Linked DNA regions of Macaca mulatta. The protein of the gene in region 5 interacts with the protein of the main gene of each other region in a pairwise test. Links are inferred from orthologs where the notes say so. Each region holds a gene or a part of one and is shown on either strand. Other genes may lie near its edges.

Region 1 (4,098 bases), on a different chromosome or scaffold from region 5:
ATCAGCTCACTGCAACCTCCGTGAGGCAGATATGGTTTTTGGGTTTTTTTTGAGACCAGAGTTTCGCTCTTGTTGCCCAGGCTGGAGCGCAATGACGTTGATCTCAGCTCACCGCAACCTCCGCCTCCCAGGTTCCAGCGATTATCCTGCCTCAACCTCCTGACTAGCTGGGATTACAGGCATGCACCACCACACCCAGCTAATTTTGTATTTTTAGTAGAGGCGGGGTTTCTCCATGTTGGTCAGGCTGGTCTCGAACTCCTGACATCAGCTGATCGGCCCACCTGGCCTCATAATCACTCATTAAATAGTGCTGTTTCTGGCTGAAACCGAACAGATCTGTGTCCAGGTACCAACCTAGGTCTTAATTCAACTCCCTGGAGGCTATCTCTACCATCTGGGAGGGACAGTTAACAGCCAGGCAAGCAGAGAACCCTCAAGTTCAACACTACCCAGATAGCTTCTTGTCTTAGAAGAGATAAGAAAATGGGAGATGGGGCCAACTCCTCTTTCACTGGCATCCCCAACCCAGCCAGAAGCTTTATGAGAACAGATCCCACCTCATCTTCCATACCACACACAAAACCACCAACTGCATCAAAAAGCTTTATTTCCATTTGGTCCAAGGCTTGTTAGGGTCGTTAAGAAAGCTGCCTAGTGGCTGGAGGGAGAGGCTTAGGCAGAAGCCCTATTATTTTGCAAGGGGCCCTTCAGAAGTCGCTGGGCTCAGAAAGCTCTTAGTCGTGCTTGAGAGTGAGCCTTTCGAAGAGATACTCGCCCAGCCCAGCCTCCGGGCCGGCCAGCCTGTTGAGGTTGGTCAGGTGGTCACCCATCTTTTTGATGAGCTTCACTTCCTCATCTAGGAAGTGAGTCTCCAGGAAGTCACAGAGCTGAGAGAGAAGAGGGAGAAATTAGAAACCCGATCCCTGCCGGGCGCGGTGGCTCAAGCCTGTAATCCCAGCACTTTGGGAGGCCGAGACGGGCGGATCACGAGGTCAGGAGATCGAGACCATCCTGGCTAACATGGTGAAACCCCGTCTCTACTTAAAAAAAAAAAATACAAAAAACTAGCTGGGCGAGGTGGCGGGTGCCTGTAGTCCCAGCTACTTGGGAGGCTGAGGCAGGAGAATGGCGTGAACCTGGGAGGCGGAGCTTGCAGTGAGTCGAGATCCGGCCACTGCACTCCAGCCTGGGCGACAGAGTGAGACTCCGTCTCAAAAAAAAAAAAAGGAAACCCGATCCCTGGAAAAGAGGGAGAAAGAGCTGCCAGTTGCAGATTAAAATATGACAGGTGTTAAATGAGGCTCTGAAGGGAATTTGCCCAAAGAGAGCAAAGGCTTGAGGGGTATGGTTGGGTAGCCATGGATGCAGGGGGTACGTACATGGGGATCCGTGTGGGCAGAACCCAGGGCATGAAGATCCAAAAGGGCCTGATTCAGTTTTTTCTCCAGGGCCATGGCGGCTTTCATGGCATCCGGGGTTTTACCCCACTCATCTTCAGCTGGCTTCTATACAGAAGGGAGAAACGGCTTCAGAATACACACACTCGGCACATGGAACTAAACCTACATTTCCCAAGAATTGGTGGGGGTCAGAGGCCCAGGCCACAAAGACATGTGACAGCTTGTATTTATCACTCTCCGCACCCCGTCCTAGCTCTTACAGCTACACGTCCTTAAGTCTACGCAGCAGTGTGGACTGCCGCGTCCTGGGGGCACTGCACGACGTGCGCCTCTATTTCCAGCCGTAAAAGGGCTCACAAGACCGAACTCAATCTCCCCGAAGCCCACGCGACATCTAAGCCCTCAAATCAAGGCTCCTCGCGCGCACGGCCTGCTGGGAGATGTAGTCCGTTACCCTACCCACACACTAGTTACCTTGACGTCCTGAAAAAGAGCGCGGCCGCCACGCTGGTTTTGCATCTTCAGGAGACGCTCGTAGCCCTCGCGCTTCTCCTCGGCCAATTCGCGGAAGAAGTGGCTCACGCCTTCCAGAGCCACATCATCGCGGTCGAAATAGAAGCCCTAAGGAAAGAGATGGAGGGAACAACGCTTAGCGGGAGGCGAGGCCAAGGGGGACTCCGCCCTCTGTTTACTCGACCGGACAAAGAAGGCCGGCGCCTGCGCTGAGGGCCGAACGTGCGCAGCTGGGGGAAATTAGGGCCAGGGGCGTCCTGGGGACTCACCAGAGAGAGGTAGGTGTAGGAGGCCTGCAGGTACATATTGACCAGGCTGTTGACGGCTGCCTCCACGTCGGTGGAATAATTCTGACGAATCTGGGAGCTCATGGTTGGTCGGCAAGACGGAGCTAACCACAAAAACGGTGCTGGCAGGTCCCAGAAGCAGGAGATGGCCGAGAAGATGGTCCCGGAGGTTGCAAGTGGAGAGGAAATCGGAGGGCGCTCGGAGGCTGGAAGAAAGAGTCCCCGGATCTGTTCCGTCCAAACACTGTTGAAGCAAGAGACAGACCCGCGGGACCGCCGAACTGCGAGGGGACGTGGCTAGGGCGGCTTCTTTTATAGTGCGCTGGCCCTCGGAGGCGGGGCGCTCGGAGCGGGCTATCGGCCAATCTGCGGTGGCAGGAGGCGGGGCCGAAGGCCGTGCCTGACCAATCCGGAGCACACAGGAGTCTCAGCCCCCGCCCCAAAGCAGGGGGAAGTCACGCGCCTGCAGCGCGAGTGTGTTGTGAAATGGGGGCTTGCGGGGGTTGGGGCCCTGGGGCCGATTCGAGGAATGGAGGGTTTCGTGGGCGGGGGGGTGGGGGCTGGGGTTCCTCTGGGAGGCTATAGTTTTATGGGAGCATTGAGAGTCCTGTGAACTGATGACCCTGGGGTCCTGGGGGTGCCTCGGGAAAGTAAGTCAGATTGTGGGGTTTCGGAGGGCATGGATTTTTCTGGAACCTTGAGTGGGGGAGGGGCAACTCAGAGGTGCGGGGAGGACCTGTAGTTGCCTGAGGTTTGTGCTGCGAGATAAGGAGTCTCCGGATCCTTGGGAAGCTTGGAAGGCAGTGAGGTGGTATTTCTGGACCCCTGGGGATCTCTGGGAGACAGAGGGGTGCGAGGACTGGAGTCCTGGGCTTTACAGAGGTGGGAGTTCACGATGCAAACTCTATATTTTGGAGCCCTCCCCGGGGAGATCTTTAGGTCCTTGAGGTGCTCTGCAAGTTGGAAAGGGCAGTTGTTCTGGAGCCGTGGGGTTCCCCAGTGCGGGAAGCCCAGGAGGAGCATTGTATGAGGTAGGGTGACTTCTGGAACCCTGGACAGCCCTCGGAAACCCTCCAAAGACTGGCTGGGACTTTGGGGATACCTTGGAGCTCTTTTAAGGGCCCAGTCGTTTTCTGGGAGTGGAAATGGGGAGGAATGAAATGTCTGTTTCGAGCTTTGCGGTGTCTCTGGGACTGCGTGTCCTGGGGGCTGTTTTGGAGGCAACTCACAGACTCCGAGAATTCTCCTTGGCCCTGAAAACAGTGTCTCCGCAGTTGCCGTCGTGTCTTGCCTGACGTGTGCTCTTTCAGGCCCACAAAGAGAAGCCCTGCGTTGTGGACACACAGTCTGGGGACCTATGGACGAGACGTCTGTCTACAACTAATGCGTATTTTTTTTTTTTTTTTTTTTGAGACAGAGTCTGGCTCTGTTGCCCAGGCTGGAGTGCAGTGGCCGGATCTCAGCTCACTGCAAGCCCCGCCTTCCAGGTTCACGCCATTCTCCTGTCTCAGCCTCCCGAGTAGCTGGGACTACAGGCGCCCGCCACCTCGCCCGGCTAATTTTTTTTTGTATTTTAGTAGAGACGGGGTTTCACCGTGTTTGCCAGGATGGTCTCGATCTCCTGACCTCGTGATCCGCCCGTCTCGGCCTCCCAAAGTGCTGGGATTACAGGCTTGAGCCACCGCGCCCGGCCTCTCTAATGCGTATTTTTTAAGCGGACCTGGTCCATGTTGATTTCTGGGAGACGGAGTCGGCGCAAACCTTGACCCTGCTTAAGTGCCCCGATGGAGGTAGCCCGTGCGCTGGGCAGGGAGCTGAAGCCACTGGGGCGTGGGGTGTGAGGTCAGGCCCTGCCCTACAGAGGAGCCGCTCCGAGCAGCCCAGGCAGGGCAGCC
Region 2 (4,378 bases), on a different chromosome or scaffold from region 5:
AAAGGCTCCTGCAGGGACGACCTTTGAGCTGGGTCCTGAAGAGGTGGCAAGGAACCAGGACAGAACATTGGGAAGGCCCTTTACCGCACAGAAAACAGCTGAGCAAAGTTCCCAATTCCGCGAGATGGGAGCTGAGGTCGACCAGGAGCGTGATCCCTGGTCTGCATCCCACACAGGGCTTCCTGCAACACCCAGAGCACAGCGCTTGCAGAGGCCCGGCCTGTGACAGGCTGGGCCAGGTGATAAGGAATTTCTGTCACCTCAGGTGGGTGAGAACCACCTTCTCCCTAGCTTCAACGTTAAGGAAGGGATGCCAGCGTCCTTCCAACCACTTCCTGTTCATTAATTCCTTTACTCATCATAACTCAGACAGGCATCAATATCCCACTTTGCAGAGAAGAACACGGGCTCCAGGAGGGGAAATGGGGCCACCGAGGCCCAAGTTAGTTAGCAGAGGCCTGCCTGGACACCAGCGGAGCACAGCCTACTCCGAAGGCCTGGCCTCGGGACCTGTCGAATGCCGAGACTCCCGCTCACCCTGAACCCATGCAAAACGATCTCACAGGGAGCGGCGGGGAGTGGGGGGACCCCGCAGCTGCGCGACCCCTCGCTGGAGCTGCTGGGCCGCCCCGCCCGCCGTCCTTCCTAGCGGCAGTGCTGGCCGAAACCCGGCCCTGCTGGGACCCGGAAGGATCCGAATCCGCCCCCCTGACAGGGTCCTCCCCGCCGAGGCCAGAGGCAGGCGCACGCGGCTCTACAGGCAGCGGCGTCGGTTCCGGCCCGGCCCTGCCCCCAACGGCTCCGCTCTCCCGCGCTCACCCCGAGCCCAGTCCGCCATCGTGCCCTGCCCCGGCTCCTCGACGCCAACACCGACGCGGCCACAGCCGCCTCAGACGTGGCGCAGTCACGGGGAACGGGCTTCCGGCCCCGCCCCCCGCCAGCGATGGCCCCGCCTCCGCGCCAACCACGCCCCTAGATGGCCCAGCCGCTTCCGCGTCGGGCTCGCTGATTTCCGGCTTAGGCCCGAGGGTGGGGAACCGCGGGGTCGCGGAAGCGATGGGCGTCGCTGTGACTTATTTTCAGCACTGTCGCCCAGGCAGTGGCGCGATCTCAGCTCACTGCAGCCCCCGCCTGCCGGGCTCCCAAGGTGCTGGGATTACAGCAGCACCGCGGATGTGACGTTTGTTTGTTGTTCCTGTGAACGTGGGGCGGGGCGGGGCCGTTTGCTTGCTCAGTGCCAAGACGATGGTGGTGGAAAGACGCTGCCATGCGTTAGGTCCTAACGGTTAGGAAGGATTCACAGGCGGGTCATGAGGGAGGAGTAGGCCCCTCGGGCAGAAGCCCGCGAGGAGCCCTGGGTGTGGAGGGGGCAAGGGTGCCTCCTCTGTCAAGTGGAGATCGGCGCCTCGCTAGTGCCTGCGAGTGCGCGCCGCGTCGAATACAGGTGTGCGGAAAGCGCTACAGGAAAGTGAAGCAGGGAAAGAGACTGGGAGGCGGCACGGGGAGTGGGGGCCGTAGACGCCTTTGCTCCCGGGCACTTGTTACAAGAGCCAGTGGACCGCGCTTCCTGTGCGTCACTGAATCCTCCTGATGGCCACTGAAACGGACACGCAGGATCTTTGCTTGTCAAGAGGGAACTGAGTCCAGGCCAGACTGCGTTGCTCCCCTTTCTCTCGGCCCCTCACGGCCCTTCCACCTTTGCAAGTGCTGCTCCTTCTGCCTGGAGTGGCTCCTCCAGTCTTTTCCCAGCTCGCTTCCCATCGTCCAGTGTTAGCAAAAACACCACTTCCTCACAGCCCTTGCAGCCCAGCAGTCACCTTTTGCTTCTTTTGAAGCACAGCCCTGTGACCGCCTCATGTCCTTTTGTTTTTCCTTGTCTGCCTTCCCCTCTGGAACATAAGCTCCACAAAGGCAGGGGCCTGGGAGTCCCGTTCGCCTGCATTCCCCAGCAAACGCCTAACGAACCCAATGGCCCGGGACTGAAAAGTCCTTTCCACTTCGGCTTTCCCGTCTACATCCCATCGGTTCTGTGGAGCTCGAGGGGCGTCACTGTGTGTGTGGCAGGGCGCGGTGGGGGCTGAGATCCTTTCCTGTTGGAAATTCCGGCCCAAGAAGCCCCGGTCACAAGGAGGGGGATCAGTCCGGTTCAGGGCGACTCGGCCCGACTCGGGTCTTCCGAGCCGCCAGTGCTGCCTCAGGCCGCGCCCCCTTGAAGCGCCACCAGACGCCGCGTCCCGTCCCGGCCTCCCCCGCGCGCTGGCGCGGGGCTTTCTGGGCCAGGGCGGGGCCGGCGAACTGCGGCCCGGAAAGGTTGAGGAAGGGCCCGTCCCGCCTTCCCCGCGCCGGGTTCCGGGGGCGCCATGGAGCCCCGGGCGGTTGCAGAAGCCGTGGAGACGGGGAAGGAGGATGTGATTATGGAAGCTCTGCGGTCATACAACCAGGAGGTGAGCGGCCGCCTGAGGCCGGGGGGCGGGCACGGAGGGGGTGGGGCAGGGTCGTGCGCGGGTGGTCGGGACGGTGTGGGTGAGGCAGGGGTTGTGTCAGCAAGCAGAGGGGACGCGGCGGGGTGGGGGTGGCACGTCAGGGATGCAGTGTTGGGGGGAGAGTGTCTGGGGTGCACCCGTTGGGTGGCAGGTGTGTAGGGATGGGGGCGAGTGTAGACCCTGCCACCCCTTCTGAGCAGTGGCTGCTGCCTGAGTTAGAGGCCAATAGGCCGCCCCCCGTCAGCGGGCGCGGATACTGCCCCTCTGTGGACTTGAATTCACTCGTTCTCTCTGCAGCACTCCCAGAGCTTCACGTTTGATGATGCTCAACAGGAGGACCGGAAGGTGGGTGCTGGCCCGAGGGGTAAAGGGACAGGGACGGGTGGCCCCAGGAAGAGGGGCCTGGTGGAGCCGCTCGTCTCCCTGCCCACAGAGACTGGCGGAGCTGCTGGTCTCCGTCCTGGAACAGGGCTTGCCACCCTCCCACCGTGTCACCTGGCTGCAGAGTGTCCGAATCCTGTCCCGGGACCGCAACTGCTTGGACCCGTTTACCAGCCGCCAGAGCCTGCAGGCACTGGCCTGCTATGCTGACATCTCTGGCTCTGAGGGGTCCGTCCCAGACTCCCCCGACATGGATGTTGTACTGGAGTCCCTCAAGTGCCTGTGCAACCTCGTGCTCAGCAGCCCTGTGGCACAGATGCTGGCAGCAGAGGCCCGCCTAGTGGTGAAGCTCACAGAGCGTGTGGGGCTGTACCGGGAGAGGAGCTTCCCCCACGATGTCCAGTTCTTTGACTTGAGGCTCCTCTTCCTGCTAACGGCACTCCGCACCGATGTGCGCCAGCAGCTGTTTCAGGAGCTGAAAGGAGTGCATCTGCTGACTGACACACTGGAGCTGACGCTGGGGGTGACTCCTGAAGGGAACCCACCCAAGCTCCTTCCTTCCCAAGAGACTGAGCGGGCCATGGAGATCCTCAAAGTGCTCTTCAACATCACCCTCGACTCCATCAAGGGGGAGGTGGACGAGGTGAGCCCTGACCTCAACCCATGGATGGGTCTCAACTCAGCTCCAACATTTCCTGGACCTGCTTCCCACTGGGTACCTTCAGGTTTCTGGGTGTCAGACATGGAGAGAACAGGACCTCCCAGCGTGTTGGGACAAGGCCAAGGAGATGCCAGTTCTGGGCTGGGACCTTAGGGGAGGATTCTGAGGGAAGTAGAGGCCCCTTCTGGCTCTTGCTGCCTGGCAGGGGGCTGTGTGCTCTCCGGGGAGACTGTAAGAGATCCTCCACCATGAGGCTGTGAGTGGGGCTGAGACAGAGTGTGACTTCATCCCAAGGGTGTGTGTTAACATTCCTAATCAGGGACGTGCTCTTAGAAGAATACTCATGGAGTTTTTAGGAAGACAGCAGTGGTCATCTTTTGCCCCCAGCACTAGCCAGAGTCACCTAGGAGACCCCAGGGGACCAAGTGTGCAGTACAGGAGGTGCACAGTCATTGCCACACAGTTCTGGAGTGCAACAGACAGTAGAGCCTCAGCAGGCAGCAGTGGGATGAGTGGGGCTCCTCACAGGAACCCTTCTTTCTTTGGTCAGGAAGACGCTGCTCTTTACCGACACCTGGGGACCCTTCTCCGGCACTGTGTGATGATTGCTACTGCTGGAGACCGCACAGAGGAGTTCCATGGGTGAGGATGGGGCTTTTTCTGGGAGGGAAGTGTGTCCACATGTTTAGATGGTCATCCTCAGCCCTGGCCGTGAACCAGAACCACCTGAGAGCCCAGGCCCCACCCTAGAGGGTCTGACTTTGTCTGGGTGAGTGAGACTGGACATCGGTGTGTTTCCAGAGAATACTGGGTGCTTCTAATATGTGGCCAGGACAACAGCCATGAATTTGGG
Region 3 (4,377 bases), on a different chromosome or scaffold from region 5:
AAATTCTCCTTACACAAGGTCAGGCACATTCAAGGGGAGCGAGGCCTGACATGCATCACGGGAAGACACAGCTCTGATCTGGCAACTCTACCTTTCTAAAAGCGTCCGAGCTCCGGGGTGCCCGAGTACCGACAGCCAAAGAACCACAGCATTTACACTTTGCCAGATAAGGAATCGGCTCTGTGAAGGTGCGAAGAACCAAATGCTAGCGATTAATGTCCCAACAACGTGAAAACTTCCTGCAACTCGAAATCCTCAATGGAAACTCTTGTCGAATCCTTGTCGAAACCAAATTAACGATGACTTGTTTCTACAAAGGCTACTGATTTCAGGAAACTAACGTATAACTCGTCGCCTTAAAGCGCCTCTAAAAGCATCCACGACGGTTAAAGTCGCTGCTACTACGAGACGCTATTTATTCAGCGCCAAGACCCAAGCGCCATCGTGGATCACCCCATTCCTGGCCACGGCGACCCTAGGGAGCGGGTCCTAGGAGCCTGCTGGAGGGCGACCGCTGAGCCAGCTGAACCAGCTGCCTCTCTGCTGACTGAGGGGAGGCCAGGCTGCCTGCAAGGGCGGGGAAGGGGCCCTTTCCGCGCTTACCAGGGTGAGGGCCACCTCCAGCATGGGGGCGAGGGCCAGGGTGCCGTGGAAGAGGGGGATGCAGTCCACGAAGAGGGTGTGGTGGGCGCCCGGGCCGCCCAGGGGGAGGTGCTCCTTACGCGGCTTCTGCTTCTCGGCCACCAGGAGCCCGTTGACGGCGCAGTGCGGGTACTTGGCGCCGTGCAGCACCATCTTGCAGTAGGCCTGGGTGGTCAGCTTCACCCCGGGCATGCTGACCCGGGAGGGCCCCGAGGCCCCTGGGCGCGCGGCTGAGGCCTGGACCCGCTGCCCGGCCGCGCGGCGCCTCAGCCGAGAAGCGGGACGAGCCGGCGGTGATTGATGGCACGGCCGCGGGCTGGTGAGGGGCCCCTCAGGCCCGGCCCCGTTCGTGCCTCGGCTCCTCGAAAAGCGATTCGCGCCTCTGGGAAGCCGCAGCCCCAGACCCCACTCGCGCTTCTCGCCCGGCGCCGCCGGAAAGCGGTCTCCCCAACGCCTGCCGGAAAGCAGCCCGGCCCGGCATTTTACGACGTTCTCAGCGCTACCCTTTTCCGCTCCACGGTGACCTCTGCGCGGCCGGGTGCAGGCGGAGTCTTCCTCGATCCCGTGGTGCTGCGCGGCGCGGCCTTGCTCTCTTCCGGTCGCGAGACACCGGGCGTAGAGGGCGGTCGCGGCGGGCAGTGGCGGCAGGTGAGGCAGGAGGTGGCCGGTGCGGGGCCGCAAGGCCGGGCCGTGTCGGGGGGCCGGGAGCCGTCGAGTCTGCACGCCCGCAACGTGGCCGCCCGGCTTCCGCAGGAAACACTGAATGGGCCTCGGAGCCAGGTGACATTGAGGCCGGCCCGCGGGGACTCCGGCCTCCATGGCTGCAGGCTCGGAGGGCGGTCCCGAAGCGCCCGGTCCGTCTTCGCCAGTCGCGCGGCGGCTGCGGGCCGGCCTCGGGCAATGACCTTGGGAGCGCCCGCTGGCCGAGGGCGCAGGCTGTGGGGAGACGGGCCCGCGCTCTGTACCTGCATCCTCCGCCCTTGCTCCTTCAAAGGTCCCTGCAACCCCTCCCGGGTTTTGCGGGGCTCCCGGGCGGCGCTCGGCTTCCTAGCCTGGAGGGCGCCAGTTGTTTCCAGTTGTTTGCTCACGCATGGGCTAGGCCCAAGGAGAGAAGTTAGACGCGGGCGTTCAGCCCTGACGTCATGCTTGTTTATTCTGCCCCGAGGAGGGTATTTTCCCACATCACCCTCACCATTCCTGCGAAGGGTCGATTTAAAGGGGGCGGTGTAGGGTAGATGGACCTGAATCGAGGAGGACCGGGGTGAGGCGGGGGTCTACCAGGTTTTCCGCTCTCCTCAGGGATTGGAAATTGACCGGGGCTGTGTTGGCAGCCTTCTCCAATTTCCCCTTCTAGTCTGTGTATATGCGGTATTAGGTTTTAAGCAAATACTCAGTTGAATGTGATCGTGCCACCATCCCTGTGAGCTGTTACCTCCCCCCACCGCCCCCTGAAGAATGGAGCCTGTAACGGCAGCACAGTGCTTTAATGATCTCTAACTTTCTCACTGTCGCTTTGTTAACATTTTTTCTTCTTGCCTTTTTTTGTTTGTTTGAGACGAAGTCTTGCTCTCGTTGCCCAGGCTGGGATGCAGTGGCGCGATCTCGGCTCACTGTAATTTCTACCTCCCGGGTTCAAGCGATTCTCCTACCTCAGCCTCCCAAGTAGCTGGCATTACAGGCGTCCACTACCATGCTTGGCTAATTTTTGTATTTTTAGTAGAGACGGGATTTCACCATGTTGGCCAGGTTGGTCTCGAACCCCTGACCTCAGGTGATCCGCCCTCCTCGGCCTCCCAAAGTGCTGGGATTACCAGCGTGAGCCACTGCGCCTGGCCTTTCCTTGTTTTTTTAAAAAGACCAATGTTCTGTTAATTACCTGAAGCTCGTATACATTATGGCAGTTGATTTATAATGAAGCTCCTTAAAAGCATGCGAACTACTAAGAAAAACCTCATCCTAGGTTATTTTGTGAATTCAAAGACAGTAATAAAGAATGGATCATTTGCGTTGGGGAGAAGCAACTAAAAGAATTTAATTCCAGAATGCTCTGGGGCAAAAAGAAGACTCATTCCTTGCTGTTTGCCCTTATTCATAGAGAAGGTGTACATTTTTATCTTTCAGAATGTTGGCTACCAGGGTATTTAGCCTAGTTGGCAAGCGAGCAATTTCCACCTCTGTGTGTGTACGAGCACATGGTAAGTGTGACTTTTCTTTCTTTTGAATAGGCTGAGCTAATTTCATTTTGCTCCTGCTGTGTATAAGGCCTTGTGCTGGAGTTTTAAAGACCTTAGTTTGGCTCTTGAGGGTCTTTAGGGGAGATACAAATATTCTCACAGGGCCCGGTTTTAGATTAAGAAGTGTTTAGGAATCAAATTGAATCTTTTCTGGATCTTTGGTGATACCGATATTTCCCCCCTTACCCTTCCCTTCCTTTCCCCTTTTTTAAGCTTCAAGATCTACCCCTTTCAAAAGATCTTCTGCACCAAAACTAACCTTAATGACCTCCCTCCCCACCTTGCCCCCACAACTCCCAACCATTTGCATCACGTCTGTTTACATTATAGAGACAATGGAAACGAAGGAGCCTGGACTTCATAGCCTGAGCTGGGTTTTCATCTCATTTCTGTCAAGGACTAGCTACTGAAGCTTAGGAATCTCTTTGCTCACCTGAAGTGTATGGACAGAGCTTAGTTCTGTGTCTGGCATACAGCACATTTAGTTTTACATGTATCTGGCATCTGTCTACTTTATACCAGACACTGTTAGACACCGAGAAGAAAAAGAAGACGAAATACACACTCTTTCCAGGAGGCTGTTTGCAATCTGAAGAGGGACAGATGGATGAAGACAGTGTTTTATTAAGAGATGGCTCCTGGGTAGAAACATTTAGCCCAATGTGGGGTTCAGGGAAGGCTTTGGAAGAAACTCTCCATGTAGACTCTGTAGAGTGTGCACCCTGCCTGGTTAGAGCTGGTCCTGCCTGCCTTTCTGATCTCATTACTGACTATTGTGCTCGAAAACCAAAAACCACCATCAGAACCACCCCTCCCCACTTGCTCACTGCCCCAGCCCCCTGGCCTTACTCCATTCCTCCCGTAGAGCGCTGAGTTGAGGATGGCCACTTCTGTCTAATCATTCACCCTCAATACAAATGTGCTTTTAGAACGGCCTCTCCTGACCACCCTTTGTCAGGAAGCTCCCTGTCACTTCACCTTGCTGTGCTTTTCCTTATAACACTGGATGCCTCATGAATGCATGTCTATGTGAGTATCGCTGTCTCAGCCTGTTAGAGTGTAAGCCTTTTGAGGCCGGGGACCCTGCCTATCTTACTCATTGCCGTATCTCCAGCACACAGGAGGCAGATGAAGACGAACTACAGGCTCTTAGACAAGTCTTGTCTGTTAACTTTTTTTTTTTCTTTTTTTTTTCTTTTTTTCGAGACAGAGTCTCGCTCTGTCGCCCAGGCTGGAGTGCAGTGGCGCGATCTCAGCTCACTGCAAGCTCCGCCTCCTGGGTTCACGCCATTCTCCTGCCTCAGCCTCCCGAGTAGCTGGGACTACAGGTGCCCGCCAACTCGCCCATCTAGTTTTTTGTATTTTTTAGTAGAGACGGGGTCGTTAGCCAGGATGGTCTCGATCTCCTGACCTCGTGATCCGCCCGTCTCGGCCTCCCAAAGTGCTGGGATTACAGGCTTGAGCCACCGCGCCTGGCGTCTGTTAACTTTTAACTTATGTA
Region 4 (4,449 bases), on a different chromosome or scaffold from region 5:
CGTTGCACATGTTTCTAGTGGCAAAAAAATTTGTCTTCAGTGTCATCTCGGCTTTAATGTCAAAGGGCATTGGATCATCACCTTTCAGAAAGAGAAAGAAACAGAAAGAAAGTCATATTTTTCCCCCTGAAACTCACATGACAATGTGGATCCTAACTCCGAACAACTAAAGGGAAAAAAAAGTTAATTTTAAAACAATTTTTAAAAACGAGGTCAGTGATTCTCAAACTTTAGTGTGCATCCGAATCACTTGTAGAGTCACCGAATCACAAGTGAATCGTCCGAATCACTTGTAAGCTGTTAAAACACAGCTTTCTGGGCCTCACCATCAGAGTTTCTGATTGCAAAGGGCTGGAGTAGGGCTCCAGAATTTACATTTCTTTTCTTTCTTTTTTCTTTTTCTTTCTTTCTTTTTTTTTTTTTCTCCGAGATGGAGTCTTACTCTGTCACCCAGGCCGGAGTGCAGTGGCACAATCTCGGCTCACTGCAACCTCCACCTCTGGAGTTCAAGCGATTCTCCTGCCTCAGCCTCTGGAGTAGCTGGGATTACAGGCACGTGCCACCACGCCTGGCTAATTTTTTTATTTTTTGCAGAGATGGGGTTTCGCCATGTTGGCCAGGCTGGTCCCCAACTCCTGACCTCAAGTGATCCACCCGCCTCGGCTTTCCAAAGTGCTGGGATTACAGGCGTGAGCCATCGCACCTGGCCTGAGTTTGCATTGCTAAGTTCCCAGATGATGTGACAGCTATTGGTCTCTAGCCACACCTTGAGAACACTTGGCTTTGACTACCATTTCTCAAAGGTGCATAGGAGGGAGCTGGGGATTCTGTTGAAATGCAGATTTTTTTTTTCTTTTCTTTTTTCTTTTCTTTTCTTTTTTTTTTTTTTTTTTTTTTTGAGACTGAGTCTCGCTCTGTTGCCCAGGCTGGAGTGCAGGGGCATGATCTCCTCTCAGTGCAACCTCTGCCTCCTGGGTTCAAGTGATTCTTGTGCCTGAGCCTCCCGAGTAGCTGGGATTACAGGAGTGAGCCACTATGCCCAGCTAATTTTTGCATTTTTAGTAGAGACAGGGTTTCACCATGTTTCCCAGGCTGGTCTTGAACTCCTGACCTCAGGTTATCTGCCTGCCTCAGCCTCCCAAAGTGCTGGGATTACAGGCGTGAGCCACTGGGTCCAGCGGAAATGCAGATTTTAATTCAGCAGGTGTGGGGCAAGGCGGGAGATTCTGCCTTGCCATGAGTGCCCGGGTTTGCAGCTGCTGCTGGTCCATTCCCTACACTTTGAAAGGCAAGGGGAAGTCCCTCCGCCTGTCGTCCAGGAAGCCGGGTATTTATCCGCCAATTTCTCAGCCCATGACTGAGGGCTGCTTTAGGGGTGTTAATCCCCACTCCTGCACCCCAGCTCCCAGAAAGCCGGCTGGCTGAGTTGCCGGTGCGGGTCAAAGAAAGTCTCAGGTCCCCGTGTACAACAATGCAGAGTGCCTAGGGCCAAAGGGATGAGTGGAGACTTCTGCTCCCCCATCCTTCATTTCACTCCCTCTTAGGCTCCCCCCTCCCCCCCCCACTAGGTTGGAGGTGAAGCCGGCCTGTTTATTTCTCCGTGGTAACTTTTTTTTTTTTTTTTTCCAGACGGAGTCTCGCTCTGTCGCCCATCCTGGAGTGCAGTGGCGCGATCTCGGCTCACTGCCTCCAAGGTTCAAGCGTTTCTCCTGCCTCGGCCTCCCAAAGTGCTGGGATTACAGGCGTGAGCCACTGCGCCCGTCCTGTAATTTTCTTCAGTAGTAGTTAGAATAAGTAATCTGATCCCCGCCCCTCTCCTTAAGGAAGATGCTTTTAAGACCACACACACATGTTTTATAACAAACATAAGCTCCCCGGGGGAGGGAACGAGAGGGCTCGCTTCCTTTTGGTCAGAGCCTATCAAAGCTCTGCATTACACAAATTGTGAAGTCCACCAAGTGCAAGTGCGCGCTAATCCTGTTCTAGCGATTCATTTCCTTCCCCAAGCAAATGCCTCCGGGCATCTATGAATGCGCCCTTTCAAGGAAAGCGAAAGCCCAAAGCGAGCGGTGACACTTTCTTTGCAGAGAAAATGTTTCTTGCGTTGGAAGGAAAGCTGATGAACTCCAGCAGGGCGTTGCCGCCTCCCAGGAGGCCAGTTTTCCTGCACACAGCAGCGGCTGACAGTTCGGGGAGGGCCCCGGGCCGCGCACAGGCCCACACAGGCCGGCGGGCGGGGCGCCCTGTGTCTGTCGCCCGGGCCCGCCTGGGGCTCAGCGAATCACGGAAAGCGAAAACCGCCTCGCGGGAGGCGTGGGCTGAGCGCATCCCTAGGGGCCGGCGCCACCCTCCTTGGTCACTCAAGTGGTTGGGTGGGGAGCCTGCGGCTGGCCGCCCCGCACCCTCGGAGCGCTCCAGGGGGCCCCAATCCAAGCCCTGCACCTACTCTTGAAGGCGACTGCCGCGTTGTTGACCAGCACATTGAGCCCGCCGTACTCCTTGCGCAGGAAGTCGCGCAGGGCGCGGATGCTCTGCAGGTCGTCGATGTCCAGTTGGTGGAAGCGCGGGCTCAGTCCCTCCGCCTGCAGCTGCTGCACGGCCGCCTGACCCCGCGCCACGTCCCGCGCGGTGAGCACCACATCCCCCGAGAACTGTCGGCACAATTCGCGCGCGATGGCCAAACCGATGCCCCTGTTGGCCCCGGTCACCAGCGCCACGCGGCTGCAGGACGACATGACTGACCCGGGCGCGCGGGACACCTGCGTGGACACCTGGAGGGCGGACCAGGCTTCGGACCACCTGGGGCGCGCCCCGAGGAGCCCAGCTAGTGTCAATGCCGCTAGTGTCAATGCCGCCGCGCAGACTAAGATCCAGCGCTGCGAGTCTTAAAGAACAAGGCCCCGGCCTCGGTCCCTCCCCTCCGAGGAGGGGCCGTCTGTGCCTTCTGTTCCAACTCCTGGGCCCGCCCCCTGCCCACGATGCGCCCTTCAGGATCCGGGCTCTGAGCCGCAGAGTGATCTGAGAGGTGTCTGAAGCCAAATCGAACCTTGATGGGTCAGTCGGGGGCTCCAGATTCATGGCAGCTGGACTGAAGAAGTTATTTTGGGAAAACCCCAAAGTGAGAAAAACAAGTGCTGAGTAATTTTCTTGGGTGTGCGCCCATCATGCACGCAAAATGCGAATGTTTGCCTTTTCCTAAGATGCAGTAACTTTACTTAGACACAGTAACTGCTTCTCTGGACATAGATCCCCTTGCTTGCTTAAAAGGAACTCAGGAGAGGGAATTAGATGCCCTGTGAGCACACCTAGCAGGTGTGGGCAGGCGACATCGCTCTGGGATTCCCAGCGAATGTGCCCCCAAGTGGGAGGGAATGTTCTTATTTAATCCTGACTTAACTCCTATGGGTGCTAAAAGTGTCTGCATTTAGGTTTGCCCAAGGAGGATATAGATCCATAGAGATCTGGATTGATCATATATTCTCACAGTGAGATCTGTGTACCGGCAAAGAAAGTTAAACTGAAACCAAATTCCCAAAGGCGTGTCAAGCTGTGGGCACCAAATTAGAGCCCCATCCATCGTCTTCAGTGTAAACTGAGTTGTTTGATCAGTGACTTTGAGATTTGGGGAGAACTGTGACATCATCACAACTCAGTCTTTTCCATGCAGAGCTGGCTAACCTGCCTGTGTCTGTTACTCTGACTCCACCTTCTCTCTCAGGTCCTTACTTGAGGTTCCGGAGGTGGGCCCCTGCTGTGATCTCCTACTGTGCTTACCCCAGTATTTCCTTTTTTCTCCTAAAGATCATTTGGTCTGGATGCGGTGGCTCACACCTGTAATCCCAGCACTTTGGGAAGCTGAGGCGGGTGGATCACGAGATCAGGAGTTCAAGACCAGCCTGACTAACATGGTGAAACCCCATCTCTACTAAAAATACAAAAATTAGCTGGGTGTGGTGGCGTGTATCTGTAATCCCAGCTATTTAGGAGGCTGAGGCAGGAGAACTGCTTGAACCTGGGAAGCGGAGGTTGCAGTGAGCCGAGATCATGCCACTGCACTCCAACCTGTGCAACAGAGTGAGACTCCTTCTCAAAACAAAAACAAAAACAAAATCATTTGGAACCTTGTTTTAAGGATATGGGGCTATTTAGGTTTTCTATTTCTTTCTTTCTTTCTTTTTTTTTTTTTTTTTTGAAACAGGGTCTTCTCTGTCACCCAGGCTGGAGTGTAGTGCTGCAGTCATGGCTCACTGTAGCCTTAATTTCCTGAGCTCAGGTGATCCTCCCCTCTAGCCTCCCCAGTAGCTGGGACTACAGGTGTGCCACAGTCATGCCTGGCTAATTTTTAAATTTTAATTTTAATTTTTATTTTTGAGATGGGCGTCTCACTGTGTTGCTCAGGCTGGTTGAACTCCTGGGCTACATCGATTCTCTCTCCTCGGCCTCTCAAAG
Region 5 (3,851 bases):
AAGTTTCCTCCATGTCTTTTCATGTCTTTATAGCTCTTTTTTTTTTTTTTCAGTGCTGCACGGTACTTTTTTTGTTAGACGTGATTCAAGAAGTAATATAACAAGCCACTAGCTCCTTTTAGCTAATCGTGGTGAAAGAACTTTCAAAGTTCAACACATGTTCAATTTGTGGATTGTTATTTACAGTTATAAAGATGTTCATGCTGTATTTTGTTTAAATCTAGAATGTTTAACAAATTATGAAATAATAAATATTAAAGGATAACTCAACAAGTATATCAGAACATATGACTTTAGTACCATTCAAAGCTTTTGTAGGCTTTACTTATTTAACCTAAGCTTTCATATCTCCAAAGCATCTTTGGGACTACTCTTGACATTGATTTTAGGGCTAGGTTGAGATACTACTATGAACTTCATTTTTAAAATTACACGTTTCCAATAAAGTAAAAAGTTGGTAGAGATTGGTCATACAACTTATTACCAAACTTGTCTCTAATGACATATAGCTATTTCAGAAAGTAGATCTAATGGTAAAGGATAAAGTATTTCCATCAGTGAAAATACTTCATATGATATAGGCCATCGAGGCAGCCCTGAGAAGTGGATACTTGGTCATGAATAGCACTGATAAATGCTAGAGTGTCAGAGTGTGTCAGAATGATTTTGGCAAGTTTAACAGTTACAAATTATATTACCTTGTCATCATCCATTTATGTCAGTGATAAACTGTGCTATTTTCATAATTTCTGATATTCTAAAAGTGTTTAGCATAAATCCCTTGCTATACTTGCTGTGATGAAGATGATTTCAGTGGGACATGCTAAAATGGTAAATATTAGCAACTTAGTATTTATTTTTTAGGTGTTTTTCTGATATGTGACTTTTTATATGAATATGGGTATGCTTTTTTCTTATGCAAATATTTTATTTTACTTGGACTAATTAGTAAAAGAATAATGAAATGTAAAATTTATCCATTTTAGAATGCACTTTGAAAATATTTATTGTGGCAGCACTATGAAATACTGGTTATAAGACATGTAGAATAGTACTTCTACAATTTTTTTGTGATAGCCTTAAAAGTATTTAGAATATCAAATACAATTTTGATTTGCAGATTTCCTTTGAAAAAATGTATTGCTGACATGTTTGAAATTAAACTTTCTTACATAAATCTTCATTGTTTTAGTTTCTTTTTGGAAGTACTGGATTTAGCTTATAAATTATATAAGTATATAAAGTAAGTATAGTGTATTGTTACAATTTTCTTCTTTTCTTTTTCAGGCTCAAACTGCTTTTTCTGCAAACCCTGCCAATCCAGCAATTTTGTCAGAAGCTTCTGCTCCTATCTCTCAAGATCGAAGTAGGTTTATACTTTGAGTTCATTCTCTGTGAACAGAAATATTGTTATCTTCTTTTGCTCAAATAAGGAATCCAAGATTTTTTTTTCTTGACAGGCTGCATAAAATTGGTAGTTAAGCTCAAATAGTTATGAATAAGAAAAAAAAGTTTACTTCAAAAAATAACCCTTTTTCTAATTAAGATAGTGAACTGTGGATATGGGGATGTATTTCATGGCTTAATGAAAATTGATTTTAGACTGACTTGTAAATCCCTAACATGTGGCTGATTCATTTATGAATGAATTATATATATGAATTCACATGTAAGAACTTTTTGAATTCACATTTAAGAACTATCATCATGCTGCTGCTGTTGAACTTTCTGAATTGTCTTCTGTCTTTCCTATGGGAGCTTCTGAAATTTCCAACCACCTCCTCTTTGGGAAGCCTCTTAAATATTGAGGCCTTTATTCATTCTCTGTATCCTGTCTTTAGTCCCTTTTTCTTCAAGGTTCAGAGGGATTCAGGACAGAGCTTCTAAATACTATGACTTAAGATACAAAATAAGTGTTAAATAAATTTTGTGGCCTGTCATTTTGTCTTACAACAGTTTATAACCTTGCCTCATAGAAAATTCATTTTAAGTCACAGATAATTTAAGTCTCATGTAGAAAAGAGCTTTTGGAAATAGTATATAACTACTACCAGGTGAAATAATGTTAATATTTAAAAATACCATTTGCAGGATTTCATTGGAATGTAGTTAAAATTACTAAAATTGATAAGACACTAAATAAATTTACAAGCTTTCAAAAAAAGATTGTTCAGAAGAATCATTCCATAGCCCTGTTTACAGAATGAGTTATAAAGTAGCTGACTTGACAAATAGATATTTTGGTCAGTTGTTCTGAATTGGTAAGTGGTATTCTTACTAAATTCCTAATCAAGTAGGTTTATTTTAAGAAACAGGAAAGGCAAGATAGTTTATTTGGAAAAGTTATTTCTACTTTTGAGTGTTTAGGAATCTGGTTGTTTCAGTTCAGATGTCTTCATATTTTATGAATTTTAAACATTTTCTGTATTTTCCATTTCTAATGGTTACAGAGATGGGGAGATGCCTTTCCAAATTGCTACTTTAAATTCATTCTAGATTTTATAACTTAAGTATAATTTCGTTAATACACAGAAGCCCATAATAAAAGAAGTTTTCATTTTGTGTATTCTGTAAGTACTTTTTAATTTATTCATTCATTCATTTACTTATTAGATCTCTATCCCAAACTATATCCGGAGCTGTCTCAATACATGGGGCTGAGTTTAAATGAAGAAGAAATACGTGCAAATGTGGCCGTGGTTTCTGGTGCACCACTTCAGGGGGTATGTACAGTGTAATTAATTTTGAATTATATAAAACCATACTTTACATATTAATATAAGCTTTCCTGTTTGTGGCTAACTCAAAAATATACAACAGCATTGAACCTCACTTCGCAGAAATTTTAGACTTCCTTTTGGATATCGTTTCTTACATAGTCTACTTCATTTTGTGCTACACGTTTTGAGTTTATTAGGATTTAGATTCAGATACCTTTTACTAGTTCATTCTCCTTTGTCTTCTGCATTTAGTCATTTACTAAGTCCTGTTGATTCTGTTTCTGTTTCTTGTATTCATTTTGTCTGTTTTTTATCCATTCTAGTCCTACTATAACCATATTCAGGGTTTCTATACTTCTAGCCTTCATTATTATAGTACTCTCTTAAATTTCCTCTAGTAACTTATTTCGATGGTACTAAGCTGTTGCTAAGTTAATCATTCTGAAATACACATATAGGTCTATCGTATCTTTGTTGCTCATAATCTTTTTTTTTGTTGTTGTTGTTGTTGTTGAGACAGAGTCTCACTCTGTCACCCAGGCTGGAGTGCAATGGTGTGATCTCAGCTCACTGCAACCTCTGCCTCTTGGGTTCAAGTGATTCTCCTGCCTTAGCCTCCCAAGTAGCTGGGACTACAAGTGCGTGCCACCATGCCCGGCTAATTATTTGTATTTTCAGTAGAGACCGGGTTTCACCATGTTGACCACACTGGTCTCAAACACCTGACTTCAGGTGATCCACCTGCCTCGACCTCCCAGAGTGCTGGGATTACAGGCATGAGCCACTGCGCCAAGCCTTTGCTCTTTAGTCTTTTAACATTCTTTTTGAAATCCAAAGCTCCATGTAATTAGACTCCATATTCTAGCTTAATTATAATGGATCTGATAACCTTTTATTAAGGTTATTGCTATGACCATAGCACTTTGTACCACTTATTATAATTGTAGTTAAATCTGTGTCTGTCTTGTTGCCATATCCCAATGCATATACAGTACCTAGCATGTATGTATTTACCAAATATTTATAGAAAACTTGTGTTAGTGGTGATGCAGTTGGGAAAACAAATAATAGTAGGTATTTTAAGAGGTTGAAAAATTGAAAAAAACATAATTGCAGATAGCTAGTTGCTTC
Region 6 (3,851 bases), on a different chromosome or scaffold from region 5:
CGACTGTAACCTGTTGCACTTGGTTACCTTACAGATTTCTCTTTCGCTTCCCTTCAGCTCTTGCTGTCTCCATTCTATCCTCCAGACCTTAAAGACTTATGCCACCTAAACTGCTTTGTAAAGCTCATCAGCTGCTTAATTACAAATTCAACTAACATGGCCGATGCCTTGCTCTTAGCTGACTGCTGACCTGCTCTATTCTTTGGGTGCTAGCCCTACCTCCTTGGGCTTGCCTCTTAAATATCTGTCAAGCTGTCATCTGGTTTAAAGTACAGACCAATTAGTGGTTCTTTCCAAATCAAATATACTTGTTAAAGCTGTATTTAATGGGGTAAGGGTTAAGCTGCTATAACAGAGTTGCTATTTTTTGCTGTAAGGTTAAGTGGCTTGAAGAATACAGAAGTTTATTTCTCTCTCACTTAACAGCCATCTTACTGCTCATCTCAGTTCAGTGACAGGGTCAGTGTCTCTCCATGAGGTAGAGATGTGGGTCCCTTTCATCTCGTGGCTCCCCCAGCCTCTAGGGCATTAATGTTGTCTGCGTGATTCAGTCAAGTCACCACCTCTTCCAGGTTTCAGAGAAACAGGGAGTGGCAGAGGTACACCCCATATCTTAAGGCCAGGTCTTTGGAACTAGACCACAACATTCATTGCTGAGAAGTAGCCAGCAGTGACTTAATTGCAAGGAGGGCAAAGAAGTGTCATCTAGCTGGGCAGCCATGCAGCCAGGAAAAAGAGAAGAATAGAATTTGATGGAGATCTAGCAGTCTCGACCACAGAATGTCTTATGCATTTTCATTTTTGGCTCTTTGATCAGTTCTTCAAGACTAACAATTAAATTACCTCTTTCTTTTTCAGGCAGAGTTGGGCCTAAATGAGCACCATCAAAATGAAGTTATTAATTATATGCGTTTTGCTCGTTCAAAGAGAGGCTTGAGACTCAAAACTGTAGATTCCTGCTTCCAAGACCTCAAGGAGAGCAGGTATCAGAGGAGGACTCTAAGCAAACCAAATAGGAACATGGATTCTTTCTGGTAGCCAGTATGGGGGTGCCATAGCAGATGTCAGTCAATTTCTGGGATTCATCATGATCAATTATTTGCTAACAGCAGCTATACTAAGCCTCATGGATAGAGGAAACAAAAGAAGTTGTATCGTGGTGGAAGCAATGAATCTATTATCAGAAATGCATGTGATAATTATAGGATTCCAGAGCTTCAGAAGGGTAGTCAGGAAGTTGCCAAGGGTTTGTGGATTAATGATTGGCTGGTTGTATTAAAGATTCCAGAACTTTAATTACTTGAGTTATTAATTAAATGGTTAGAGCTCTAAGACATGGAAATTAGTGAGAAAACACGTCTGTGTTTCATACTGAATAATTAAGAGAGAGGAAAACAGCAGGAAATCATAATGCTGACTAGTACCAAAATTGTTAGTTGATTTCTAGCATGAGATAATAATGGTTGGACCATAGTTGATTTTTAGCAAGAGATGAATGTCATGTCAGACATAAGTGAAAAAGACCTCCAAGTGAGCTCCAGCTGCCATAAAACCATGAATGTGTCAGTATTAGAGGCCATCAGCCTTAGACCATTCAGCCCATTAAACTCATCTGGTAATCTGGTTTCCTAACCCCCAGCAGATGAAAGCAACAATTTAATTGGCAAGAACATATGTTCTATTAAAGAATATAGAAAGATTATTAATATTTTAATAAAGATTTTTGTAAAAAAATGTTCTGGTTTTTTTGAGAAGGACTAAATTCTGCTGGCTAGATGAAACATTAAAGAATTATAAAACAAATACTATTAAGTTTAACTCTGATAATGCTTTAGTGTAACTGGGTCTTGCTTGATGATGTCTTTTTGGAAGTAGGAAGAAAATAAAGCTGAGGTTGGTGTAGTTGCCCTTCATCTGCTGAGAGTCTGAGGGAGAAGGGACTTTGGAGGGTAGAGGTAGGGAGAGGAGAGGACTGTGTTACTGTGATACTGTCATTGAAACTAGAAGGCACACACGGAAGCTTTTTCAAGGATTCAGCTGTTGGGCATGAATCCTTTGCCCAGCACCATTGTTGAAGATGATTGTGGGATTTATCACCACCAATGTGACCATAGGCAAGTCACCTCCACTCTTCAAACCTGTGTTCCTATCTGTAAAGTTAGGGTATTGTAGAAGATGGCACCAAAGTTCTCTTCCAACCCAAGCATTCTCTATGTGAGAGTAGTTGTTTTTTGTTTTTTTTTTTTGAGACGGAGTCTCGCTCTGTCGCCCAGGCTGGAGTGCGGTGGCACAATGTCGGCTCACTGCAACCTCCACCTTCTGGTTTCAAGCAATTCTCCTGCCTCAGCCTCCCAAGTAGCTAAGATTATAGGCACGTACCACCATACCCAGGTAATTTTTTGTATTTTTAGTAGAGAAGAGTTTTTGCTGTGTTGGCCACGTTGGTCTCGAACTCCTGACCTCAAGTGATCCACCTGCCTCTGCCTCCCAAAGTGCTGGGATTATAGGTGTGAGCCACCATGCCTTGCCCTTAGAGTAGATTTCTAATGCTGTTGTTGATGATGATACTCATTTTTGTGGAGTGTTCAGTGGAACTTTAAGATAAGCTAGTTTATTATTATTATTATTATTATTATTATTATTATTTTGGGTCTCAAGAATGCAAAGAGGAGCAATATATAATTACCATTTATTTCCCATAGACATTTACTAACCTGTGAATAGTTCATACAGTTACTAAAATGCTAGAGAAATATTAGAAAGAAATAAGACTATGCCTTCCAGGTTACTTTTGAAATTATTAAATGTAATAAGACTGATTTCAGTGGAGTTTGAAATAAGACATTTAATACTAAAAAGTTAAAGAAAAAAGTAGATGATGGTTTGGGGAATGTGTTTGAGCATTTACTTGTATTAAATGATGTGCACAATTTAATCATTTGAATAGATGTCAAAAATTAATTGAGTTTAAATTATTTTCAATGTTTATTAATAAAGAAGATAGTTCCCAGAGAGATTTTCACTGTAATCTTTGAATTTCTTAGATTGCATGAATGTGGGTTTCTTAATTTTGTTGTATTTTGTAGATTTTTTTTGTTGTTTATCCATAAGTTTTGGATCATGGTTGTTTTTCAGGCTGGTGGAGGAGACCTTCACCATAGATGAAGTCTCTGAAGTTCTCAATGGATTGCAAGCTGTGGTTCATAGCGAGGTGGAATCTGAGCTCATCAACACTGCCTATACCAATGTGTTACTTCTGCGACAGCTGTTTGCACAAGCTGAGAAGTGGTATCTTAAGCTACAGACAGACATCTCTGAACTTGAAAACCGGTAATAAAAGTTGAACTTGCAACTGTGACAGTAGTGGCCCAAGCATGATCTTAAAAGTTAGTGAATATCTTTGCTGCATATTTTCTTGCGGCTGGTGTGTGAGAAAATTTGGGTAGGGTAACAGCAAAGCATTGAGTCACTGAGTGATCTCTTGGGTACCACTAAGTGCCCTTTTAAAAGTTCTTTGTTTCTACTGTTCCTAGGTATTACAAAGGCCATTGAGGTTTATGAAATTGCTTTTCAGGCTATCATTAATTATTTTTTACTGCATTTTTATTAGCTTGGTCAGTATTACCATCTGTCTTTATAGATTGGTCAACTAAGAAATAAAGATTATGAGGCAGTTGAAAAGTCAGTTCAAATACAATAAATACCATCAATTCAATCCAGTAGCATTGGAAGTTTTCTAAATAATTGAATTTAAAAGTATACATTTATTACTTTAAAATAGGAAATATAAAATACAAAAAAAGCTTATAATATGGACATCAAGAGCTCAAATTCAAAAAATATGGTAAAAC
Region 7 (3,851 bases), on a different chromosome or scaffold from region 5:
TGAGCCACCGCACCTGCTAGGAACTCTTGATGTTCTAGGAGGGTGTCTCACATTGGAAGGAACCCCATCCTCCCCCGGGGGCAGCCACGACACAGAGGCAGGGACACAGCACTGAACCTTCTCACATCTTTATTTGAAAGGCACAGCTAAGCCCACCCTTGATACAGCATTTTCCACTTCTCTCTGTAGAGATCAAACGACTGAACACAAGATAAGCTGACTATATACAGACACAGGTGTGGGTGTTGCTTTTTTTTTTAAAAACATTTTTGTCTTTTTTTTTTTAATATCCCCTTTCTTAAAAGACAAGCTAGTATACTGGAAAAAGAAAAAAATAATAATAAAATAAAAACCAAGACAACTTTAGTACCCTCATCTTTATTTGGGAAGGGGAGGGGGAATCCTGGGTCGCCCACCCTCACCCTGCTCCTCCCAGCACAGCTAAGCTCGTCCCTCGTGCCCCCTCTTTTGTGGGCAATGGGAGAGGACCAGGTGGGCGTGGAGGCGTCTGGAACTAGCAGAGGTGGTGAGTGGGGCAGGAAGTGGAGGTGGGAGCAGACCTGGGACCCCGGGTCGGGGGAGACTCGGGGTGCCCAGGATGGGAAAGGGGCAGCTAGCATTGCGTGCATGCAGTACCAGGGTGAGAGCGCAGTGGCGTGTGCCCCGAGGGGCCCGGGCAGACTGTCAGTTACACGTGTTCAAAACGGGGGAATGGCCAGGGGTTCTGGGCTTCTCGAGGTCTTGCTCCCTTGGGACCTGGTCTCCCATCTGACCCTCCAGGCCTCAGCTTGCCTCACATGTCAGGGCAGGTATCCACCTATCCAGGCTGCAGGGGAGGAGGAGGGAGGCCGGGACTGGGGTAGGAAGAAAGCTAGAGGTGGCCTGCAAGTCGGACTGGGGCCTCCGCAGGCAGCCGCCATAAATACTATGGGAGTTTAGCCAATCCCGAGCTCCACTGTGTCTTGTGCTAAACATTCTTTCTCTCCGTGCCTCTGTCTCCCCTCTGTCCCCCCTCCCACCCTCCCCGTCCCGGCCCCCTGCTAATCCGACTTCTCGCCGTCATCCTCCTGGTGGGTGTCACCGTCGTGCCCGTTCTTGTCTTCCTTGGAGAGGTGGGCCTGGGAACCCAGCGCGGACAGCGAGAGCAGGCCGGTGCCTGCACTGACCGCCGGCAGCGAAGGCGGCTGCAGCCCCACAGGCAGTGGGGTCAAGGGCAGGGCCAGGGCCTGCAGCTGGGACAGCTGGTGGGCTTGGAGCTGCTGCTGCAGGACGGGGGAGGGGAACGTTAGCTGCCTAGGGCCCACCTGTCCCCCGCCCACCCGCCCAGGTCCCCATACGTACTCGGATGATAGAGTTCAACTCAGGAGCGGTGACCTGCTTGGCCCTCTCGATGGCTCCCAAGACCTGCTGCTGGTGCTGGAAGGGGATGAGGAGAGAGGAGAGGCAGTGATTCCTCCTGATCCTGACTGAGAGAGGAGGCGGTGGCTACCCTGGGGCCAGGAGGAGCCCCGCTACCAAGGGGGCCATCATGTCTGCTCCTCCCAGTGGTTTTCAACCCCATCAGAAAGCGCCTTCCCTCTCTCCAACTGCTTCCTTTCACCAAGCTCGTCTCTTCATCTGGCCAATGGAGATAAATGGAAAAGTGCAGAAAACGATTAAAAGGGTTTTGTGCCAAGTAGTTAGAAAACGGCCTTTGAGTGAGTCTGGGAGAAACCCCGGATCCTGACCTATCCTATGTCCGCAGCCATGTACAAAGACATGAAAGACGTGAATATTTGTGCAGTACACAACCTGCCCAACTGTACAGGGATGTCCTGATCCTAGGAGCTCCAAGACTGTGCCCTGAGTCCGGCCAAATTGAGCCCTTCTCCTACCATGGCTGGAGAGGGCCCAATGAATTCTGGCAGAGCCAGCTGGGGAATGGGCCTAGGTTCAGGGCAGTTCCTCCCCCAGCTCTCCCCAAACACCTGACTCTGTGGCCAGCAGATGCTAGAATCTATCAATCTCCCTTTTTGCTTTGGCCACCAGGAAGCCTCCGTTCTGAAGAGTTCCAATTGCCCTTTTCTCTAGGGCTTTCATTGGGTCCTTCTAGACTTGTCCCTGGGCAAAGCAGGGCACCCAAAGGATCCTGAGATACAGCGATTAAAGAGGAAATTACAAATTTTTGACAGTAAACTTGGCAGGGACAGGAGATGGGCCTTACATGGCCCTGGGGAGGGGCAGCCTTGCATCCTGAGCCTCAGAACCCAAGAAAGGAGAAGAGAAGCTGGGCATCAGGTTCCTCTGGGTGTGTGTGCATGTGGTAGTGTGTGCTCAGGATCACATGTGCTTACTGTGTAGCTGCACATTCCTGCGTGTGTGGCCCTGTGCTGTCTGCACACGCCGTGTATCCGTGTGTGTCTGCGTCTGTGTGTGTATCTCCCGTATGTTGATGTGCTCATACCTATCTATGTGGCTGTGTCCATGGGGGACCGCCCTGTGCTACCCCATCCCCGCAACACACCCTCTAGTCTTTGGTTCTGTGCCACCCGCAGCGCCTGAAGGATGTTCTCAAGAGGGTGAAAGGAGGAAGAGAGATGAGAAAAAAACATTCCTGGTGCAGTTTTGGCCCATCCGACATTTCTACCTATGACATGACTCACTCCAGCTGGGAATTCCAGAGCAGGGTGAGGCCCGGCCCCCACACCCCTGTACCCCTGGAGTGTCTCTGGCCCAGGGATTCTTCTGCATAGGCCAGCTCTGGTGTCCAGAGCCGGGGAGGTCCAGAGAGGGGAGGCATGTGCCCTGGGGCACCCAGCACGCCCCCCAAGATGGTTGCAGCGGACAGGGGCTGGGCAAGGGGAGGGCCCCCTGGCACCCCCTCCCTGAGGCCCTGGCTCTTACCTCTTGGGAGAGGTAGGGCAGGACCTGGGCACAAATCCCGTTCAGCCTTTTGACAATCTCCGCCTGGAACACACAGATGAAGTCAGCGTCAGTCCTGGATGGGTGGCAGGTGCAGGCCAGCCCCAGGAGGCCCGCACGGGGCCCAGCCCAGCCCTGCCACTTGCGGCTTCTCTCTAAGAGGGGCTAGGTCTGGCCAGGGTGGGATGAGCAAACCCGTGTTCGGGCCCAAGGGCAGCCAGTCAGTGGCAAAGGTGGGGCTGGAGACCGGCTGTCGCCTGCAGCTTAGAGTGCAGTAAATGCAGGATGAGGCCAGACTGCACATTCCTCGGCTACATTCCTCAGGGCTGGGCCACTCAGGCCCCTGGCAGATAGTGAGCGCTCGTGGGAATGTAGGGAGGGCTGGGGGCCACAGGTTGTGGGGAAGGTCTCCGCCTCTCCCGCCACCCCCAGAAAACACTTCAAGGGAGGCCTGAGAAAGAGGCGGTGGGGAGGAGAGTGGGAGCTTGGGAAGGGCTTAGGAGGTAACAGGATAACAGGGCTGGCTGGGTGCCCAGCCAAAGGCCGGCTGCTACCTGCCTGGGGGTGCCCACGGGGGTGCTGGAGGCGGGGGGCAGAGGGGGAGGAGGGGGAAAGGAGAAGGAGGAGGAGAAGGAGATGGGCGTACCTGTTTGTGCATCTCGATGTTCAAACCGTAGGACATCTCATAGTACTGTATGGGGGAGAGAGAGAGGGAGCGGGAGATGAGGGCAGGGAAGGATGGGGGGGCATGGAGACAAAGAGATAAGGGAGTGGTAGAGACAGACAAAGGGGGGAGACAGCTGAGGGCAGGAAAGAAACGAGGCAGGTGGGAGGGAAAGAGCAGGAGGGAGAGACGCCCACACCCAGCGTCCCAGCCAGCCCGGGAGAGGGGCAAGGGGCCTGCTGGGGCTGCGGATGGAGACTGGAAGCACTTTAGGTCCCTAGCCCTG

Evidence for each region.
Region 1: the proteins of SDCBP (region 5) and FTL interact in binary tests that used the Homo sapiens proteins (3 or more experiments, as listed by UniProt). The two-hybrid records come from large-scale screens. The link is inferred for Macaca mulatta from reciprocal best matches to the Homo sapiens genes SDCBP and FTL.
Region 2: the proteins of SDCBP (region 5) and RIC8A interact in binary tests that used the Homo sapiens proteins (3 or more experiments, as listed by UniProt). The link is inferred for Macaca mulatta from reciprocal best matches to the Homo sapiens genes SDCBP and RIC8A.
Region 3: the proteins of SDCBP (region 5) and COX4I1 interact in binary tests that used the Homo sapiens proteins (3 or more experiments, as listed by UniProt). The two-hybrid records come from large-scale screens. The link is inferred for Macaca mulatta from reciprocal best matches to the Homo sapiens genes SDCBP and COX4I1.
Region 4: the proteins of SDCBP (region 5) and CBR3 interact in binary tests that used the Homo sapiens proteins (3 or more experiments, as listed by UniProt). The two-hybrid records come from large-scale screens. The link is inferred for Macaca mulatta from reciprocal best matches to the Homo sapiens genes SDCBP and CBR3.
Region 6: the proteins of SDCBP (region 5) and LZTFL1 interact in binary tests that used the Homo sapiens proteins (3 or more experiments, as listed by UniProt). The two-hybrid records come from large-scale screens. The link is inferred for Macaca mulatta from reciprocal best matches to the Homo sapiens genes SDCBP and LZTFL1.
Region 7: the proteins of SDCBP (region 5) and TLE5 interact in binary tests that used the Homo sapiens proteins (3 or more experiments, as listed by UniProt). The two-hybrid records come from large-scale screens. The link is inferred for Macaca mulatta from reciprocal best matches to the Homo sapiens genes SDCBP and TLE5.

What each region holds. Positions count from the first base shown.
Region 1 is NC_133424.1:61,421,183-61,425,280, reverse strand, and holds FTL (ferritin light chain), read right to left. Parts: upstream 2,489-4,098; 5' UTR 2,288-2,488; coding exon 2,186-2,287; intron 2,025-2,185; coding exon 1,878-2,024; intron 1,509-1,877; coding exon 1,383-1,508; intron 891-1,382; coding exon 738-890; 3' UTR 712-737; downstream 1-711.
Region 2 is NC_133419.1:83,137-87,514, forward strand, and holds the start of RIC8A (chaperone Ric-8A), read left to right. Parts: upstream 1-1,233; 5' UTR 1,234-2,360; coding exon 2,361-2,444; intron 2,445-2,780; coding exon 2,781-2,828; intron 2,829-2,916; coding exon 2,917-3,507; intron 3,508-4,075; coding exon 4,076-4,167; intron 4,168-4,378. Other genes in the region: BET1L (BET1-like protein), read right to left, coding at 820-838.
Region 3 is NC_133425.1:81,189,147-81,193,523, forward strand, and holds the start of COX4I1 (cytochrome c oxidase subunit 4 isoform 1, mitochondrial), read left to right. Parts: upstream 1-1,422; intron 1,423-2,742; exon of another isoform or gene 2,743-2,763; coding exon of another isoform or gene 2,764-2,764; coding exon 2,765-2,837; coding exon of another isoform or gene 2,838-2,841; exon of another isoform or gene 2,842-2,843; intron 2,844-4,377. Other genes in the region: EMC8 (ER membrane protein complex subunit 8), read right to left, coding at 604-834. UniProt on the Homo sapiens protein: Component of the cytochrome c oxidase, the last enzyme in the mitochondrial electron transport chain which drives oxidative phosphorylation.
Region 4 is NC_133408.1:11,285,440-11,289,888, forward strand, and holds the start of CBR3 (carbonyl reductase [NADPH] 3), read right to left. Parts: upstream 2,835-4,449; 5' UTR 2,736-2,834; coding exon 2,447-2,735; intron 82-2,446; coding exon 1-81. UniProt on the Homo sapiens protein: Catalyzes the NADPH-dependent reduction of carbonyl compounds to their corresponding alcohols. Has low NADPH-dependent oxidoreductase activity.
Region 5 is NC_133413.1:69,251,099-69,254,949, forward strand, and holds part of SDCBP (syntenin-1), read left to right. Parts: intron 1-1,287; coding exon 1,288-1,366; intron 1,367-2,613; coding exon 2,614-2,723; intron 2,724-3,851. UniProt on the Homo sapiens protein: Multifunctional adapter protein involved in diverse array of functions including trafficking of transmembrane proteins, neuro and immunomodulation, exosome biogenesis, and tumorigenesis.
Region 6 is NC_133407.1:109,183,975-109,187,825, reverse strand, and holds part of LZTFL1 (leucine zipper transcription factor-like protein 1), read left to right. Parts: intron 1-858; coding exon 859-983; intron 984-3,135; coding exon 3,136-3,330; intron 3,331-3,851. UniProt on the Homo sapiens protein: Regulates ciliary localization of the BBSome complex. Together with the BBSome complex, controls SMO ciliary trafficking and contributes to the sonic hedgehog (SHH) pathway regulation. May play a role in neurite outgrowth. May have tumor suppressor function.
Region 7 is NC_133424.1:3,847,680-3,851,530, forward strand, and holds the end of TLE5 (TLE family member 5), read right to left. Parts: intron 3,593-3,851; coding exon 3,548-3,592; intron 2,947-3,547; coding exon 2,884-2,946; intron 1,417-2,883; coding exon 1,342-1,416; intron 1,263-1,341; coding exon 1,041-1,262; 3' UTR 113-1,040; downstream 1-112. UniProt on the Homo sapiens protein: Transcriptional corepressor. Acts as a dominant repressor towards other family members. Inhibits NF-kappa-B-regulated gene expression. May be required for the initiation and maintenance of the differentiated state.